2 linked regions of the Ovis aries genome follow. The protein of the gene in region 1 binds, or shares a complex with, the protein of each later gene. Links are inferred from orthologs where the notes say so. Each region holds a gene or a part of one and is shown in the gene's direction. Other genes may lie near its edges.

The links.
Region 2: TAF1C (region 1) and POLR2F share a complex: the UniProt entries of both Homo sapiens proteins name them as parts of the pol I pre-initiation complex. The link is inferred for Ovis aries from reciprocal best matches to the Homo sapiens genes TAF1C and POLR2F.

What each region holds. Positions count from the first base shown.
Region 1 is NC_056067.1:10,017,483-10,027,254, reverse strand, and holds the start of TAF1C (TATA box-binding protein-associated factor RNA polymerase I subunit C), read left to right. Parts: upstream 1-4,814; 5' UTR 4,815-4,980; intron 4,981-7,997; 5' UTR 7,998-8,069; coding exon 8,070-8,207; intron 8,208-9,302; coding exon 9,303-9,384; intron 9,385-9,574; coding exon 9,575-9,672; intron 9,673-9,749; coding exon 9,750-9,772. Other genes in the region: ADAD2 (adenosine deaminase domain-containing protein 2), read right to left, coding at 2,911-3,054, 3,149-3,464. UniProt on the Homo sapiens protein: Component of the transcription factor SL1/TIF-IB complex, which is involved in the assembly of the PIC (pre-initiation complex) during RNA polymerase I-dependent transcription.
Region 2 is NC_056056.1:215,572,281-215,582,175, forward strand, and holds the start of POLR2F (DNA-directed RNA polymerases I, II, and III subunit RPABC2), read left to right. Parts: upstream 1-4,837; 5' UTR 4,838-4,932; coding exon 4,933-4,952; intron 4,953-5,425; coding exon 5,426-5,495; intron 5,496-8,234; coding exon 8,235-8,365; intron 8,366-9,895. Other genes in the region: C3H22orf23 (UPF0193 protein EVG1), read right to left, coding at 2,887-2,949, 4,165-4,267. UniProt on the Homo sapiens protein: DNA-dependent RNA polymerase catalyzes the transcription of DNA into RNA using the four ribonucleoside triphosphates as substrates.

The sequences.
Region 1 (9,772 bases):
TCACAGTATTTGCTGTTACCTGCTGCTAAATTTGTCTCCCAAAAGGGCTGCCTGTTTCTTTCAAAGAGAATCCGAATTTCAATACTCCTCCCTAGCGTGGAGATTCATCTACTTTAAAAGAGCAACAACAATGCCAGTTAGGGAAACTTCTCTGGCAGTCCAGTGGTTAAGAATCTGCCTTCCAATGCAGGGGAGGTGGGTTCAATCCCTAGGCAGGGAAGTAAGATCCCAGATGCCTTGCGGAAACTACTGAGCCACGGCTACTGAGCCCATGGGCCACAAAAGATCCCACATGTGTCAACGAAGACCCCGTGTGCTACAACTAAGACTCAAGGCAGCCAAACAGATATTTACAAAAGAAGGCCAGCTGGGAGATGCAGCAGGAAGGCTGGCATCAGGACTCTCCGGCAGCCAGTGCGGTAATAGGCAACTCTGGCCACAATCATCAAAGGATGCTACAACCACGGGGGGATGGAGTTCTAGGGAGAAGGATGGCCACACCACCGTAAGATGCCCCGCCTGGACGACTGATGACACAGCAGGCAGGGAAGTGAAGGCGCCTGGCGACACCACCGTGATTAGGACCCCCAGCTGACACCCCAGGGGTAGAGTAAGGAGATCTCGGGCCCCCGGCGGGATGCACGCCACAGACATGAGGCTGCCACAGATGCCTCCGCTGGTTATGCATCACTTGAACCCAATCCTGAGGAAACAGACAAACCCAAACGGACAACTTTCTGCCGAATAACCAGACCTTATCCTTACAGCCTGAGCAACTGTTTCAAATAAAAAGAGGTTAAAGAGGCTGATGTAATAAATCGTGCTGGATTGGGGAAAAAATGCCCATCACTGTGACAAGTGGCAAAATGTGAACATGGTAACTAAGTAATAGTATTACATCAATGGGCTTCCCCGATAGCTCAGCTAGTAAAGAATCTGCCTGCAATGCAAGAGACCCTGGTTTGATTCCTGGGCCAGAAAGATCTGCTGGAGAAGGGCTAGGCTACCCACTCCAGTATTACTGGGCTTCCCTGTGGCTGAGGTGGTGAAGAATGCACTCGCAATGCGGGAGTCCTGGGTTCGACCCCTGGGTTGGGAAGACCCCCTGGAGAAAGGCTACCTACTCCAGTATTCTGGCCTGGAGAGTTCCATGGACTGGATAGTGCATGGGGTCACTTGTTAAGTTTCCAGAATTTGATCCTTGTGCTGCAATTATGTAAGACAATGCCCTTGTTCTTAGAAAATATATGTTGAAATATTTAAGGGGTAATTAAGCCTTCAGATTGTTCAAAACAAATCAATGTGGATATTTATATATAAATATACATGGAGAGAAGAAGACAAAGTAAATGTGGCAAATGCTAACTGGAGAATCTGGGTGAAGAGTTTATGGGAGCTCTTTTATACTATTCTTCGAAAATTTACCAAAATGAAGACTAGAAATGACAAAAAGTGCCTACCCACATCGACAGTGGAAAGAGGGACCTTAGGCGGAAGGGAGTGGCAATATTACTCAGTGGTTCGGCTCAGGCTCTGAAACCAGACTGCCCCCTGGCAGTTTCAGCCTCTCTGGCCTCAGTCTTCCCATCTGTAAAGCAAAGGTAATGGTATCTGCCTTTCTTGAAGAATACTTGTGAGGACTCAGTGTGTTAATGTGTCTGAAGACCTTCAAATAACACTCGGTCTGTCACCCAGAACTCATGAATGTTAGCTGTCATTACTGGTATTGAATTGATTTCCTTTTTTTTTTAGTTGCAGCATGCGAAATCTTAATTATAGCCTGCGGGATCTAGCTTCCCAACCAGGGATCAAATCCGGGCAACGGAGATCAGAGTCTTAGTCACTGGACTACAAGGGAAGTCCCTATTTTCTGTATTCTTGATGCTCTGGCATTTGGGGATTTAATTCTGGAGAAACCATCCCTCCCAGGACTAGCTAATTCCTAGACATAGCAAACAACTTCTCTGCAAGCTCACTCTTTCATATAAAAACCGATCAATCCAGAGCTCACACCCCAACCACAGAACTCTGACAAGCCAACATTCCCCATGCCCTAAATCAACCCTGAGGCCAGGTACTAGGCAGCTAGGAAACACCCCATAACCCCTAAATTTATCCAGTGTCTTGCTTTTATCAATCCTAATCTCACTCTGCATAGGTACCCTGCTCCAACCATTCTTTCCCAAGAAAACCCAGTTAACGCCCGGGGCTGTGCCTGGCCCCTCCTCGCCACCCCATCCTTTCCTGCACAGCCCTCCATGGCCATCTGTGCCTGTTTCTAGGATCCATACTTACCCCTTTGTGACAAGCACTCTGACATCTGCTGTCTTAACATACCTGATTAAAATAAATCCCAGGTAGATTTTTTTAAAAATACATTATCTCATTTTGAGTTACTCAGTTTGAGGTTCTCCTAGGAAGTTTTACAAATGCTCCCAAAAGTTCTTAGAAGCAGGGAATGTGCTGGCTGAAAGTTGGGAATCTGAATCTAGGAGGGACCTGGTGTATTGATCTTGGTGGTTCCAGGAGGAGGACTGTAACCACTACACCTGTATACAGTGTTGCCATCATTAAGCTGTATCTGATAACCTCTCTGAGTTGGGGTGGGCGGGCCCTCACTTAGGCACCTCCTCTCCAATGCTGGCATGGCAACTGTAATTGTATATAACTGACCTTCAAAAAGGCCTGCTGAAAGGCTGGTAGCTTGAGGCAGGTCCTTTAACCAACCCGAGCTTCAGATTTGGCCCCCCATCACCTGCTAGTTAGAAATCTGGGGTACCTGGTGCCCCTGGCACCATGCTGCTCACAGCAGGCCTACCTCGGGCCCCAGGCTCAGGCCCAACTCAGTCTTCCTGGCTTCATTTGAGAACAGCCCAGGGCATGCTGCCATCCCAGCCCCCTGGGCCTCACCTGCTGTTTGGCTTTCTCGAAATATCAGGGAGACACCCAGATTGGCCGCGTACTGAGTAAGCGAGGCCACGGCCTGGCCCGGCGGCGGGTCTTTGAGCTGCAGGCCCAGATGTCTGGTCACCTTCGGGAAGTCGCCCGCGGGCCCTGCGGGTGGTACAACGACCCTCAGGGACCTCCTCATCCTTCCCGTGCCCAGCACCCCCCAGCTCCCTGATCCCTGCCCCCACCCAGGCCTCACCATCCCCAGCTGCTGCCGAGGCCTGGAGCTGCCCGCCCGCTTCATTGTTCTCTGCGTTGGGGGTGGGAGCAGGCTCTTGGCCCAGACTGGCCGAGGGCCTCCAGGAGCTGGACCCTGGGCTGATCTGCAGTGATGCTGCCAGACGGGGCTTCCTGCGGCCACTGTCGTCGGTGCCCAGAGCTGTGCTGGCCTGTGAAGCCATGGCTGGACTCGAGGGCGGGAGGGAACAGCAGGCACGTTCTGGCGCCACCTGCGCCTTTTTACACGCCAGAGCGAGCGCCCACGTGGGGAGCACGTGGTACAACCGTCCGCGCATGGTGAGCTCCGCCTCCCGCCTCACTCGTAGCCAATGAGAGCCCATAAAACTGTAGCAGGACAGTATGCCCAGCCAATGGGAAGGCTAGTCTCCCAGGCAGCTTGAGCCTGGATGTGGACTAAGTGGCCACCTGGCCAACCTCCTTATTTCAAGGGCGGGGCTCCGGGTGTAAGGTGAGGGTGGAGGACAAGACCGTCCTATCATCTTCTTCTCTGCGCTTGTTTGTGTGGTATTCGGGAAACAAAGACCAGGGGAGGAGTCTGGGGACCCAAGTTCAGCACCTCACCCCTGCTGCCGTCCAAGGATGCCCTGCACTCCCCATTTTGCCAGCCTGCCCTCCCCAGCTGCTTAAGCAGCTGAGCCTAGAGGAGGATGGGAGGTGCTCATTCTGTAAGTGATGGTGTTTTCATTTGTAGCAGCCTCACAGAGTCTTTAGGGCCTACATTTAAAATCTGTTCACCTTAAGCCTTCCTGAAGCCAACTGTAAGTGTTCCACGTGGGCTCTAGCTAAAATTAGTCATTTGATATCCTGCCCTCCCCACCCCACCCCCGCTTTTTTTTTTTTTTTTCCTCAGAAGTGAATCTGTGTTGGTTCGTAAAAACATGTCAAGATAGCAATTCTTAAAAATGAGGGTCTAGCGATGAAGGAGAAATAACAAAAATAAAGTTGAGGATGAAGACAATTTACATGTGGCTTGCTATCATGCAGCACGGTTGCTTGAAGGAGATGAAAATTTTAACAGTCTTGAGGAGCCAGTGACCGGGAAAATGTGACCAGTTACTGAGTTTATGGTCTGTAAGTTGTGTTGCTGTTGCTGCTGCTGCTGCTGCTTGCTACCTTCGGATCTGACAACACGAGCCAGGACGGGGGCAATGTGGACGCTAAGGCGTAGAGAAACAGTTGGTAGCACCTGTTAACATTTGACTTGGAAGAGCAGATATGGAGCAAGGTAGATTCAGTCTCCCAAACGGTTCAAGGATTGACCTCAAGAAAGACAATTCTGAGGACTTCCCTGGTGGCTCACGGTAAAGAATCTGCCTGCAATGCAGGAGTTGGAAAAGACGCAGGTACGATCCCTGGGTCAGGAAGATCCCCTGGAGGAGAGCATGGCAACCCACTCCAGTAGTCTCGCCTGGAGAATCCCATGGACAGAGGAGCCTGGCGGGCTTCAGTCCATGGGGTCGCAAAGAATCGGACACGGCTGAGCGACTTCACTTTCACTTTCACTTTTACTTAATTTCCAGTGCCCACGGCGCCATCTGCACTCGCATTCTCCCTCCGCCCGGGAGGTGGCGCTCTGGAGCGCCCCTTAGGCCGGGCTGGGAGGCGGGACTTCCTGCCTTCCATGAAGCATTTCCGGCCCAGCCGGGGGAGGCGGTTCATCGCTTCTGTGGAGCTGTCGGGTTGCGGGCTCAAGAGCTAGGGTTCTGCCTTGGGGCTCCCTCGTGGCACGAGGGTCAAGCGAGCGTCACGCGGAGGTCGGTTTCCCCGACGAGCACGGCGCGACGGGATTACGTAAGTGCGCGCGCCGCCCCGACGGGACGGAGGGGCGGGTCCCCGTGCTCGCATCCACAGGCTCCAAACTGTGTGGCTTTGGGACGAGTCGCCCAACCTTTGCAGAGTTGGTGGTGAGCAGCCGCTGGCTCATGGAACGGGGAGCATCACGCCGTTGTAAAGCGTCGTAGCAACAACTGTCTGGCATACAGCGCTTGGTGCGAGATGCCTGCTGTTCTTGGGTTGAAATTCTGGGGCCTCGACGTGGAGAGGGAGGAGACGGATGGGGAGGACGTGGGCGAGTAGAGGTCTAAAGGGAAGGGCCTCCCGGATCCCCTCTCCCATCCCCGGGCAGGCGCACCTATTGCCGCACCCGGCGTTCGTGCAGACCCGACGAAACTCCGGAGGTCTAAATTCGAGTCCGGGAGAGATGAGGGCGGGAAATCGAGGCTGTCTTGTCTCGGGGGTTCTCTGAGGTCGTGGGCTCCACCAGCTCCCTCAGCCTCCCTGCGTTTGTTTGAGACTGTCAAGTTCCTCATTCTTGGATTTGTGCCTTCAGCTTTTACGTACTGATTTCAGTTCATTTCAGTTGCTCAGTCGTGTCCGACTCTTTGCGAGCCCATGGACTGCATGCAGTGCTCCAGGCTTTCCTATCCATCACGTAGTAAATAAGGCAGGCACCGGGGATAAAGTCCCTTCCCCATGCGGACTCTCAGAGCAGTTTGGAATCACATAGCTTTAGCTTTAAATATCTTATCACACATCGCAATGCGTGCTCCAGAGGAGGGATGCAGGGTGATGTGGGACAGGGCTGGGAGAACCAGGAGAGGCTTCCTGACTCAAAATCTGAAGGATGGGGGCAGATTTTTTAGGTGGGTAGGAAGGACAATGGTGTTCATTTTTAGTGGAGAGAGAGTGTGAAAAGGTCCTCTGGTGAAAAGACGCATTCCCACCACTGTCCTCTCCTGTGATGAAGGAGAAAGACAACAACAATCAGATGCCAGGAGGTCAGAAATGAATCTGATACAGTTCCTGTCCCAGAGAGCAGTCCCGAGGAAGAGATAAAGCATATAAGCCACAATTAGAATGAGGCTGACTCGTGCCCTGAGAAACACATTCTTTTGACAAGTTTTTTTATTATTTATTTATTTACATGACTGCACTGGGTCTTAGTTGTGGCACTCAGAATCTTTAGTTGTGGCATTCGAACTCTTAGTTGCAGCATATGGGATCTAGTTCTGCGACCAGGAGTCGAACCTGGGCCCTCTGCATTGGGAGTGAGGTGTCTTAGACACTGGACCACAGGGGAAGTTCCTCGTTTGAAAAGTGAAAGTGCTAGTCACTTAGTTGTGTCCGACTCTTTGTGACCCCATGGACTGTAACCTTCCAGGCTCCTCTGTCCATGGAATTCTCCAGGCAAGAATACCGCAGAGGGTTGCCATTCCCTTCTCCAGGGGATCTTCCCTACCCAAGAATCAAACCTCAATCTTCTGCATTGCAGGGAGATTCTTTACCATCTACCAACATTTACTGTGTGGTGAGCACTTTGCAAGGTGCTCAGAGTACCTGGAGGTATAGAGGTTACAAAATAAATGGATACATGCAGTGGTAGCTCTAAGAGGAAAGGTTTTGCATCATCAGGCTCTGAGGCTGGTGCTCGCTTCTGGATGCAGAGAGAGTTGTGGTTTAGAACTGGGGTTTTGGAGCCGCTGGAGGATCACGCTATTGGCCTTGGGCAAGTTGCTCTTTCCCAGCCTGTTTCCTGACCTCCATATGAGGGGCAGGAGAATAAAACTTGTAGTACCATGTCAGGCAGATGCTGGCACTCAGTAAGTGAGAACTGCTCTTATTTTTGCGTGTATTAAAGGATATTCCAGCTGCTTATTCTTGTTGAGCACTTTGTATTTTGTTGTTGTTCACACTCTTTGTGACCCCCACAGACTGCAGCACACCAGACTTCCCCGTCTGTCACTATTTCTTGGAGTTTGCTCAAGTTCACGTCCACTGAGTCAGTGATGCTATCTAACCATCTCATTCTCTGCCACCCTCTTCTCCTTCTGCCTTCAATCTTTCCCAGTTTTAGTCTTTTCCAATGAGGCGGCTCTTCGCATCAGATGGCCAAAGTATTGGAGCTTAAGCTTCAGTCCTTCCAGTGAATATTCAGGGTTGATTTCCTTTAGGATTGACTGGCTGATCTACCTGCAGTCCAAGGGACTCTGAAGAATCTTCTCCCACACCACAGTTTGAAAGCATCAGTTCTTCAGTGCTCAGGCTTCTTTTTGGTCCAACTCTCACATCCATATATGACTACTGAAAAGAAACAAATTTTGACTATATGGACCTTTGTTGGCAAAGTGTCTCTGCTTTTTAATACACTGTCTAGGTTTGTCATGGTGTCCCTTTCCAAGGAGCAGAGATCTTTGAATTTCATGGCTGCAGTCACCAAAGCCCTTTGACATAAACATTATTATTCAACACACAGTTGGTTCCTTTTTGTTGGAAGGTACTGTACTTGACAGTGGGAAGGCAGACAAATAATAACTCATCTCTGGCTTTGGGGAACTTGAGTTTGTCTTTAGAGTGTAACCTAGAGTGTGGGGCTTGTCGTCTAGGTAGGACTGTGTAATTATAATGTAATACGTGAGAGCGTGATGGAAGCTGATCACCACCAGCCACCTTCTAACTTCAGCCCCCATCACTCACCACCTAGTTTTTCCCATGGCTACCCAGTTGCTTCTCACATACTCCTGCCCCAGGACTCTTGTTCTTGCTGTTCATTCTTCCCAGTACCCTCTCTCCCGTAGTTGGCATGTTTGTCTCTCTCATTAGGCTCTGTGTGTGCCGAACATCACCTTCATGAAGCTACGATGCTAAAAAGCACACCCTCAGGCCCTGCCATCCCTTCCCTCCTGGCGGGTTGCTTGGTTTTGGAATAGCACCTACTATTCTCGGGCGTTCGGTAACATATTCGTTTGTTCTTCGTTATCTGCTTCCCCAAAGAGATTATCCTCCCATTAAGACACTCTTCACTCTCCCAGGAGCCCCGGAAGCCGCTGTCCGGTTCAGGTCTCTGAGGAAGGCCAGGGTGACGGTGGCTACTGTTTTTCAAGATGGACTTCCCCAGCTCCCTCCCACCCTCGTTGTTCATGACTGGCCCCCTTGGTCAGAGCGATGTCCCTGACCTGTCGTTCATGTGCAGCTGGAGAGACGCGCTGACCCTGCCGGCGTTCTCACCCCAAGGCTCTCAGGTGAGGATGGCAGGGAGAGCCTTGGTGGCTTGGGGGAGGGCCCGTTTGCACCCCCCTCCCCCACCCTAGAGGTCACACCAGTTGGCAGGAGTGCAGGGTGGGGGGCTTTGGTACAAATCTACTAAGACCCAGGCTCAACCAGAATCCCATCCTTTGGGGACCTGGGGCGCCCTACCATCCACAGAAGATTCAGCCTCCTTCCTGGCTCCCTCTCCCCCTGCCTTCTCCTTCCTCTGTTTGTTCAACGAATACTCACTGAATAGCTCTACTGTGTGCCAGGTGCCTTATCAGGCTCTGGGGATCCAGAGTGAGTAAGTCAGATGCGCTTCCTGCCCCTGGGGAACAGGTAGGTGGAATAGGGACTAACAAGTGAATAGGGCAGAAGATAAAATCATTTCAAAGTGTGGACAGCTCTGAGCGAAACCAAAAGGATGCTGGAGCCGCACAGGGCAATGTGAGGGGGGCGGGGAGACCTCCTGGGAGAAGAAGGACACCTGCTCTTACCCTGGACGCCTAAGCCATCAGCTGCCACTTGGAGACAGGCTGGCTAAGGGTTACGCCAGGCAGAGGCACGTGGGTGAGAAATTTAAGAGAGGCACTGGAAGGGCGGCGGGGGTGGGGGTGAGGTTTGCAGGACTCACTTGACAAGAAGGGCTTCCATCAGGAGCCTCACCTGCTCCTTTTCCATCCCGAGTGTGGAGCTGAGTTGTCTGAGGCCAGCCCTGCAGGGGAGTAGGGGAGCCTGGGGGTGACTGTACGGTCTCCCGAGTGTACGTGATGCACGGGTGAGACCCAGGCCGGCTAGTGAAGGCCGGGCGGTCCTCTGGAGCAGCGCAGCCTGGATGTGGGCAGCACAGGCCAGAGTCAGGCTGCCTGGGCTCAGGCCCCGGCCCTTCTCTTTTCTGGCTGCTGCCTGGGGCCAGGGACGGCCCCCTGTTCCTCCCGTTCTCTTCATCATTAAAGTGACAGTGAGCGACCGGCTTGGCAGGCGCCTGCTAAGGACTGAAGGAGTTGAGAAGAGACAAAAGCTGATGACAGGGCCTGGCCGGGGCGCTCGCTCACTGTTGCACTTTGGCCGTGGTGGTGTTTCCTCAGGATAGCGCGCCGCATGTGGCCAAGGCCCTGCTCTGGGAGCCTGACACGCCTGGGCCCCTGCCCTTGCTGCCTCCTGGTCCTGGTAAGGAGCTCGGGCTGGGGGCCCCGAGCTGTTCCCACTCACGGCTTCTTCCCCAGCCCCCACCCTGAGGCCTCTCCCCCAACTCCGTGCCCCCTGCTGATTGCTTCCACCCAGCAGGGTCCTTGGCATCTCTAGGCACTGGGACACCTGGTTCCACTTCAGTCCCTTCCCAGCCTCCCTCTTCCCTCAGATCCCTGGGACCCCGGCCTGACTGCCAAAGATCTGCTTTTCCGGGGAGGCTACCAGTTCCGGAGACATCCCCGAGTCGTGCTGGATGTTACTGAGCAGGTGCGCGGGCCCACCCGGTGGACAGTGCCGTGGGCCCGGGGCTGTGCCTCCTGACCCGGCCTCTTTTCCTCCCGCAGATCAGCCGGTTCTTGTGGAACCA
Region 2 (9,895 bases), on another chromosome or scaffold:
GGTCAGACAAAGCCCTGCCCTCACAGTACTTAATCTGGGGTTTAGATGAAGAGAACAGCAGTGATGTTGACAGCAGAGCACCAGTGCCAACACAGGGATGGGCCACAGGGTGTGTCAGGGCGGGATTCACGGTTATAAGTGGGGTGGCCAGGGAAGGCCTCACGGACACGATAGCATTTGAGAAAGGATCCATAAGCGGTAAGAGGCCAGCCAAGGTGATATTTTAGGGAAGAGCATTCTAGACAGGGTGGCTCAAGTGAAGGGCCTGAGGGGGGAATGTGCCAGAGCATCTGAGAACAGACAGCAGACTAGGGTGCTGGGAATGGACTGAACCAGGGGTGGGGTGGAGTGGGAGTACAGGTCAGAGGTCAGGGAGGGCAAGAGATGGACTGGGCCTCATAGGCCTCTGGAAGGACTGGCTTTTACTGTGCGTGAGGTGGGAAGCCATCGAGGGTTCTGAGCCGAGGAGTCACCCCTTTAGCTGCCATTGAAAATACATTGTTGGGAATTTCCTGGTGGTCCCTGCTTCCACTGCAGGGACCACAGGTTTGATACCTGGGCTGGGAACTAAGATCCCTCAAGATGCGCAAGTGAAAAAAATTAAAAAAACATAAAAATAGAAAATACAGTGTTGAAGGTCAAGAGCTTCCCAGGTGGCGCTACTGGTAAAGAACCTGCCTGCCAATTCAGGAGACATAAATGATGTGGGTTCGATCCCTGAGTCGGGAAGATCCCCTGGAGGAAAGCATGGCTACCCACTCCAGTGTTCTTGCCTGGAGAATCCCATGGACAGAGGAGCCTGGCGGGCTATAGTCCATGGTGTCACAAAAAGTCAGACACAATTGAAGCCACTGAGCACGCATGCACGGGGGTCAAGGGCAGAGGTAGTCACAGTTAGGATATGGTTTGAAGGTCAAGCAGACAGGACTGCTGGTGGGTTGGATGTGGGGTCTAGGAGAAAGGGGAAGAGGGGACAGGATGACTCTGATGTGTCTGCCTGGAAGAACCACAAGAATGGAGCAGCCATTGTTTCCCGCTGCCTTTCCTTTCTCGTGCCCTCTATCTAGGGCCAGCCACAGTTTTTCTGTCTCCTTTGAAGAGATGCTATGCTTCCTCTTACTATGTCTGCTATTTCTACTTGTCCAGTGCCAAATGCCACCTTTTCCTTTGGCTCAGTCTCAGCAAATAATTAGAGCCCAAGCAATTCTGGGAGTTCAGGTGAAGGAGAGGAATTTGTGGCTTGCAAAAGAATTTAAGCCTCAAAGAAGTAGGACTTGATTAAGAAGAGAGTAGAGAGGGGAAGCTGGGAGAAGAAAGTAGACTCAACACCAATGCTTGGAGGCAATATTTTAAAAAGAAAACATCTAAGGAGAAAAAAAAAAACTGGCAAACTGTGACTTGTGTTGACCTAATCACTAATCCAATTAGTTTTTCAATAAATACTCAGCACCTCGGAGTCAAGGACTTCCCTGGTGGCTCAGATGGTAACGTGTCTGCCTACCAAGGTGGGAGACCCAGGTTCAATCCCTGGGTCGGGAAGATCTGCTGAAGAAGGAAATGGCAACCCACTCCAGTATTCTTACCTGGAAAATTCCATGGACGGAGGAGCCTGATAGGCTACAGTCCATGGGGTTGCAAAGAGTTGGACACGACTGAGCAGCTTCACTTTCACTAGGAGTCAAGGTACAATGGTGAACAAGGCAGGCTCAATCCTTGGTCTCCTGGTGTTTACTTTTAATGGAATTTCTAGCACATTCTCTTTATGGTCATGTTGTAAGGAAGGAAGGAAGGGTTAGTTGCTCAGTCATGTCTGACTCTATGCGACCCATGGACTATAGTCTGCCAAGCTCCTCTGTCCATGGGATTCTCCAGGCAAGAATACTGGAGTGGGTTGCCATTCCCTTCTCCAGGGGATCTGTAAGGGACATCAGATGATTAGTAGATGACTTGAGTTTGGAAATTGAGTTATGTGACTCAGCTGTGTTGTGGTGTTAGGCTCTGGCAGCCTGAGTTGTCCTTGTCCACAAAAAGGAAGGAGATCTGACTTCTGAACTGACCTGATGGAGCCTCCCTCCCCCAGCCAGCACTGGGCAGTCAGTATTTGTCTCTCTGACTCTCCCATTCCAGTTTCTGTGGTTGACCAGATGTCTCCTGATAGGCACCTTCTTTCTTGAAAGAAGGCAATAGCTATTGGTAGATTTGCGTGAAACCTGGCAGGCTTGAACCTTCTGGTATCCTCTTAAAGGTAACTTTACAGATCTCTGTTCTGATCCCCTAAAAGCTGATTCAGTTAAATCTCAGAAAGCAAGGTTGTTCTCAAGATCTTAGAGGGCACCTTGTTACCTTCAGTTTTTTTTTTTTTTCCTTAAAAATAAATAATACAGTGTGTGGTCAGAGGTGAAAGATGGAAAAGTTTTGCATAGTTTTCCTAAGTTGGAAGCCTGCCAGTAATCGTGTTTCTGCCAGCTAAGCTAGAATGAATAAAACTATGCATAAGACACACACAGGCCTCTCGTCTGGAGAGCTCATATGTTATGTGTGTAAGAGGGTGGGAGAGATTGCGGACTTGACAGCGTTCAGACTGTCTGACTGGGCAGGAAGTCCCGAATGGGCTGATGCCCTGTTAGGAAGGCCGGCTAGAGCTGGACTGTGGGAGAGGCTCATGGACTGGGACCCATGTCTTGTGAAGAAGCAAAGACCAAGACCCTGCAAGGTCAATTCCCCAAGAGCAAGGGTCAGAAATACTATTCAAATTTTGTTTGTGTGTGTGTGTGTGTGTGTGTGTGTGTGTTTAAAATTAGGTCCCCTGCTCCTCAACATGGAGAGAGCATTAAAATGTGACCCAGAATTCCTCTCCCCGGGAAGCCTCTGTGGTCAGCCTCTTACGTTTCATGGTGTCCATGATGTGGCGCTGTTGGAAGTTAGTCAGTTTGGATTCCTTCATCATCACTGCAAAACAAAGCACCTTGGTGAGGCTTCCTGGGCTGCAAGCAGACGCCTCATCTCACCCCACTGAAACTTAATACTGTATCGCCTCCTGCTCCCATTCTGGGTGCCTGCGTACTTGGCTTGTGGGATTTGAGTTCCTTGAACAGGGATTGAACCTGGGCCTCCCAGCACTGAAAATACTGAGCCCTAACCACTGGACCACATGGGAATTCCCTTCCTTTTCTACATTTTTCCCCCTATACCACTCATCACCATCTAAGTTCTATATACCTTATTTATTATTTGTTACTTTCCTCCTAGAATATTAGCTCCAAGGGAACAATAATTTTTGCTTATTTCTTTTCTTTACCGCTGTGTTTTCAGCACCCGGGATAATGTCTAAAGCACACAGTGGGCTTTAAAACTATTTTTGTTGAGTGAATGAAACAGTGAATGAACAAGTATTCATTGAGCACGTGCCAGGGGCTGGAGCTACAAATGTGAGCCAAAACAGGCATCATGCCCTGATGGCGTTCATGAACTGAATGTTAATTCAATGTTAATTCAGTGGAACACACTAGGTATCTGAGTACAGGTTGCACTAAGCCCAGTGAAGGAAAAGGTATTTGGTAGTGTGCAGACTATTAGGAGAAGGCAATGGCAACCCACTCCAGTACTCTTGCCTGGAGAATCCCATGGGCAGAGGAGCCTGTTGGGCTGCTGCTGCCCATGGGGTCCCTAAAAGTTGGACACGACTGAGCGACTTCACTTTCACTTTCCACTTTCATGCACTGGAGAAGGAAATGGCAACCCACTCTAGTGTTCTTGCCTGGAGAATCCCAGGGACAGAGGAGCCTGTTGGGCTGCTGTCTATGGGGTTGCACAGAGTTGGACACGACTGACGCAACTTAGCGGTAGCAGTAGCATCAGTGTGCAGATGCATAACAGTTGGTTCCACTGTGGTGATGATGGGTGGAGAGCAAATAAGTCTTCCCTGGGGAAACTGAAAGTGTGATCTAAGGGGTTCATGGGAGTTAACCACTCTGAAATTCTTAGTTCTTTGACTTTGGGTCACTTCCAAGTTGTAGGAGCTGGACGCCTGAACCTTTCTGAACTCCAGGCTTCTTATCTGTAAACTGAAAATACAATTACTAAGCCATAAGTCATGTAGGGGAGAACTGAGAAACAGAGGGTAACTGTAACCACCGCTCTTCTTGTGCCCTTTAATGCACTGACCTCTGAGCAGCTCGCAGGTCCCTGGGGTGTAAGTGGTCGGCTTGGGACAGCGCCAGAACCCTGTTCCTTTGGTCACCGTCTCCACCCTCTCCTGGGAAGCCATGGGAGGGCTCTGAAGAGGGAAAAACCCAATGAAACATTCCCGGTCTCCCAGATCCAATCTCTTCTCACACCCTCAACACCACCCAAAGTTTGGGAGCGGGTGTAGGGTCTCAAGAGATCGTGATGCCGCCTGTCAACATCGCGACAGTGCCCGATCCTCCCACCTCGAACAGATCCACTGGCAGATATATACACGCGAACAGAGACCTCATCCTGACCTGGCGCCTGTGGCAGGGAAGCCCCCTCGGGAGGAAAGGGGAGTGAGGGTAGCCGTGCCCGTTGTGTGATACGCCCAAACGGGAAACCTCACCCTAAAGTAAGACCCCGGCTGGGTGGCCTCTCTCCTCACAGAGAGCGGCGGCTGGGCTCCGGAGATCGTAACCAAGGCTCTGAAGCAGCAGCCGCGCCTGGTCCCTCCCAGAAATACTTTTGAGATCTCAGCCACTAGAGCTTGCAGCAAGCGCGGCTCCGGCTACCATGGTAACGCAGACAAACTGCTCCGCGCATGTGCCTATTTCTCGCCCCGCCTGCCTCCCGGAAGTGATTACCGCTAGGTCACAGCGCAGGCGCCGAGTACTCTTGGCATCGCGCGAGGCGGAGGTACGCTGTTCGCCGGTCTCCGCGCGGGTTTGGGTCTCGGAACCCGGTGGCTGCTGCGCGGGCGTCATGTCAGACAACGAGGACAAGTGAGTGAGGGAGCGAAACGACTTTTCCGAAGACTCAGAAGGGGCGGATGAAGCAGGAGCCAGGGTCGAAGGAAGTTGAGCCAGAGGTTTAGGACTGGGGGTGGTGAGGGCGTCCGCAGAGCCGGAGAAGGGAAAGGCTGGGAACTAGGAGCATAGACCCGGTCAGAGGCTGGGCGCGGAAAAGGCTCCGACTCGAGGGTCCAGAGAGGATCAGTGAAAAAGTATCTTTCAGCAAACTTCCACTGAGTCGGGCTCTATGTCTGTCTGTACCAAATGTTGATTCAGCTGGGGTCTCTTTCTAGAAGAGGCCCATAGTTAAGATGAGGACGTCAGATGACTGGTTTATTGAATGATTCACTGGTTAGGTGGATATTTATTGAGAGCCTCCTACGTATCACATGAGACTCAGATTTCTGCCCACTTTGATTCTAATAAGTGATGCTCTAACTAACGGGCTTCTTACACTTGTTCAGTTTTGATGGAGACGACTTTGATGACGTGGAGGAGGATGAAGGGCTCGATGACTTGGAGAATGCCGAGGAGGTCAGTACTGAGCCTTGGGCTCCCCTCTCTGCAGCCCAAGCTGCCAGATAGCCCGGCCAGTGATGGCCGACTGCATGCCTCTGCCTCCCGTTTGTGGTCAGGGTACTGCCACTTAGAAAGGGGAGATCTAGCCCTGGGTAGTGGAGGAGTCCTACAGGGTTGGCCCAAAGGCTTTTGTCTCTTGGACCACAGAGCATGACTTCTGGGGCAGTTAGTTTACTCAGTTGAAATAGCCCCTTCATTCATTGTGCAGACATGTGGTGAATGTTTATTATGTACCAGGAGCTCAGCAGGGTGGGGCTGAATAAAGAGCAAGGGGGAGAGTGACCTGGGATAAGGCTGGAGAGGTGAGGGCCAAGATCAGCCAAGATTTTGTAGCCTAGGGGTAGCGGGAAGCTGCTGATAAGTTTTGGGGATCTGGGGAGTGGCATGATCCAGTGAGGAATGAGTTGGGTGAACCAAGAGTCAAAGAGAGCCCAATTAGAGTGCAATCCAGGTGACATCTGTAGCTTGCACTTGGGTGCTGGTAGTGTTTGTGATGAGAAAACAGATGAGAGATTTTGGTGGATTGGATGTGGGGCTGAGAAAGTGGGAGATGGCAGGAATGACTCCCATGTCTCTGGCTTGAGCAGCTTGGTGGATGAGTTACTGGCGTCATAGATAAAATAGGGTCTTCTGTGCTGTGTGACTGGTGGAGGAAGAAGTGCTTTATGTCTTCTGGAGAGAGGAATCCTTTGATTTTTTTTTAGATTGGTAATGTGAAGGCCCTCTTTTGTGTGGGTTTTCCTGTCTGCCTAACACTCTGAGGTTATCTGTTCACTGAGTCAGAAGCCTTCTTCTCGGTTCTTCTGATGCCTTTCCATCTCTCTCCTCTTGATTCTGCCTCCTCCATGTAGTTCAGTCCTGTTCCCGTTTCTCTATTCCTAGTGCCTCAGCCTGGTTTAGATCTTTATTGGTTTTCATCCGCATTACTGCAGAAACTTGTTACCGGTTTTCCTGCCTTGAGTCTGCTGTTTGCCTTTCTGCTGCCAGAGTCGACTTTTTCTCCTACCCACATGATTGGTTACTATTGGTCTTGCTCAGTGTTCTCTCTGCTTCAGCCCTTAGCCTCTACAGAACGTTCTTAACAGAGTATCCAAGAGTGATCCTTTTAAATCTTCAGTCACTCTGTCTCTCCTCTGCTCAGAACCTGCGTCTGGTCACTTCTCATCTCATTCCGAATAAAAGCCAAGAACATGCACAAGGTCCTCCGTGATCCGACCGCCTGCTCCCTCTGTGGTCTTATCTCTTCTTGGTATCGCTGTCATGCCAGGGAAGTTCCAGCTCAGGACCTTTGACCGTGCTGTTCCCTCTTCCTTTTCCCTTAGTTATGCACACAACCTGCTCCTCAGCCTCCTTCAGGTCTGTGTTACATGTCACCTCAATGAGGCCTTCCCTGACCATTCTGTTTCAAATCACTGCATTTGCTCCTTCCTCCAACATCACCACTCGGACACTCCCTGTCTTTTCTCTCTGTTTTTATACTGCACATTTTACTACTTATTTTATTATTGTTCATCTCACTGTATTCCTGGGTTGGAAGATCCACTGGAGAAGGGATAGGCTACCCACTCCAGTGTTCTTGGGCTTCCCTGGTGGCTCAGCTGGTAAAGAATCCACCTGCAATGCAGGAGACCTGCCTGGGTTTGATCCCTGGGTTGGGAAGATCCCCTGGAGAACGGAATGGCTGCCCACTCCAGTATTCTGGCCTGGAGAATTCCACGAACTGTATAGTCTGTGGGGTCACAAGGAGTCGTACAGGACTGAGTGACTTTCACTTTCACTGTATTATAATGTAAAGCTGTATGGGAGAAAGAACTTTCATCTGTCTTACTGCTCTGTGTCAAGCACTTAGAATGCTATCTGACAAAGAGTAAGCACTCAGTAAATATTTGTTGGCTTAATTTTGTATTACAGAATTTATTCTCCTGTCTACCCTGTTTGCACCTTTTGGGCTTATCATACCCCATGATTAGGCATCCAGGCTGAGTACACTCTCTTCCCTCGTGTGTCTTTGCACATATGCAGTTCAGCCTGTCTGGAATGCCCTTTCTTTCTTTCCTTGTTAGCTTGGCAGCTCGTACTCATCCTTGGAGACTAGCCCAAGTCTCATCTCTGGACTGTATTCCTAACCCCCAGGATGAGGTAGATGCCCCTCGCTTTCTTGTGTAGTTTGTGGCACACTGCCACGCTTTCATAGCACTTGATGTTTTGTTTACTCTTGCCTTTTCGCTGGACTGTGAATTCTTGGCGAGCAGAGACTCCGTCTCAGCACCTTTATCATGTCTGGCACATGACAGATGCTTAATAAGTGGTTGTTAAATATATACATGTGTAAAGATGGGGTGCTTCTTCCTCTTCTTGGTTTGGGTGAGGTTGTCTGTGCTCAAGGACTTCTTTGTATGGGACCAACTCTCTCTGCTGGATGAGGCGGCTGGCTTTGGACTCCTGATCACGATTCCTCTTTCACTAGCTCTGAGACTTTGGCCACGTTGGCTAACTGTCCAGCCCTTTAAAATGAGCATTGTAATCCCCACTTGATAAGGTTTTTGTGAGGATTAGGTGAGGTGTTAATAAGGCAGTTGTGTGGTCACTGGCATGCAGCGTGGAGGCGCTCACAGTCACTGTTGTCGTTGTCCTGCCCCTCACCCCCAGTGATACAGCCTGAGATTTTCCCCTCTTTTCTGCCTTTGTGTCCAGGAGGGCCAGGAGAACGTTGAGATTCTCCCTTCTGGAGAGCGACCGCAGGCCAACCAGAAACGAATCACCACACCATATATGACCAAGTATGAGCGAGCCCGCGTGCTGGGCACCCGAGCCCTTCAGATTGCGTGAGTATGAGCCCCCTCACCATCGTGTCCTTTGGTCAGGCCACAGGGAGCCTCCGAGCTGTTGATAATGGCCCGGCCTGGCAGCAGACCCATCCCTTTCTCACAGGCTGAACAAAGGCGGCGCCATCCCCATGTGCCAGGCGCTGTGCTAGACCCCTGTTCTCGGGGAGATTGTTGGGGGAATAGGACATAAACAGCAGAGAGTAACCGTGAGTGTACAGAGTGTGATGACCGCCCGTCAGGTGGGGAAACGAAAATGAACGCAATAAGATCAGACCTAGACCCTTGTGGGCTGGGTAGTTGGGGTGCCGCCACAGCTCCCGCTGGGCTTAAGGTGGTTCTTGAGTAGACTGGGGCCAGCCCAGGGGAGTGAGAGAGCCCTCCACGTTGAGGCTGCACTAGGAATGTGGAAGCACAGAGCAGTGGTCGGGGGTGTAGGGGGTTGAAATTAGCAACCCTTCCTTTCTCTCCCAAGTTGGGAACTTGTTGAAGAACAACATGATTTGGGAGCCAGCCAGTAGCCAAGTCAGGTCAGGTCAAAATGTGCGGTGCTCACATGTCCACCCATGAGCCACAGGCATTGCAGGGGTCAGAGGCCGTGTCTGCGAGGGCGTGGGCCTCGTGCAGAACAGATCCAAAAGCAGCCCCCTGAGGACAGGTGGCTTTGAGGAAGCAAGGGCTCTTGAAGAGGCTGGGCCACAGCTGCTGGCTTTCCCTGCCAGGCTTCCCTGTCAGATGAACTCCTCCTCTGTTCTGGCGAGACTTAAGTGGGAGGACACAGAGGGCAGGCGTGTTACTGTTGCTCTCATGGCAGGTCCTGCCCAGGGAAACAAGAGGCTGCAGAAAGGAGCCCTATTTCAGACTTCTTACCAGCTGCTGGGGGAAATGGTGGACACCTGAAGGAGGGGTGCTTCGAGAAGAGAGGAGTGGGAAACAGGCTTGAAAGAAAAGCTGGGGTCAGAGTTGTGGGGTGATAAATATGCTAGGGGAGCGGTGATGCTCAATCTGTGTGCTCCCTGCCCAAAGTTTTCAAACAGTGTTGGACTTTATCTGTGGAGTGAAGGTGACCACTCGGTGGAGGGTCTTATTGGGGCGGGAAACTGTTGTTCTTCACTCACTTGGCAGCAGGAGGCCTCCTGCCAGCCTGGTTGCACCCCTTGCTGGTCTGGGTGAGTTGAGAGCCGCACCCCGTATGATGATTTCAGTGTTGCTGGGGTCAGGATCCTCTAGGCCTGCACCACAGGTATGGTCACTGCTCCCTACATTTGGCCATTTAAATTAAGTAAAACTGGATAGGAGTTCATTGGAGAAGGAAATGGCAACCCACTCCAGTGTTCTTGCCTGGAGAAACCCAGGAATGGGGGAGCCTGGTGGGCTGCCATCTATGGGGTTGCACAGAGTCAGACACGACTGAAGCGACTTAGCAACAGCAGCAGATAGGAGTTCAGTGTTTCTGTCTCCTTAGTCACATTTCACGTGCCCAGTAGCCTCTGTGGCTACCGTGATAGGTAGCACAGATAGAGGACATTT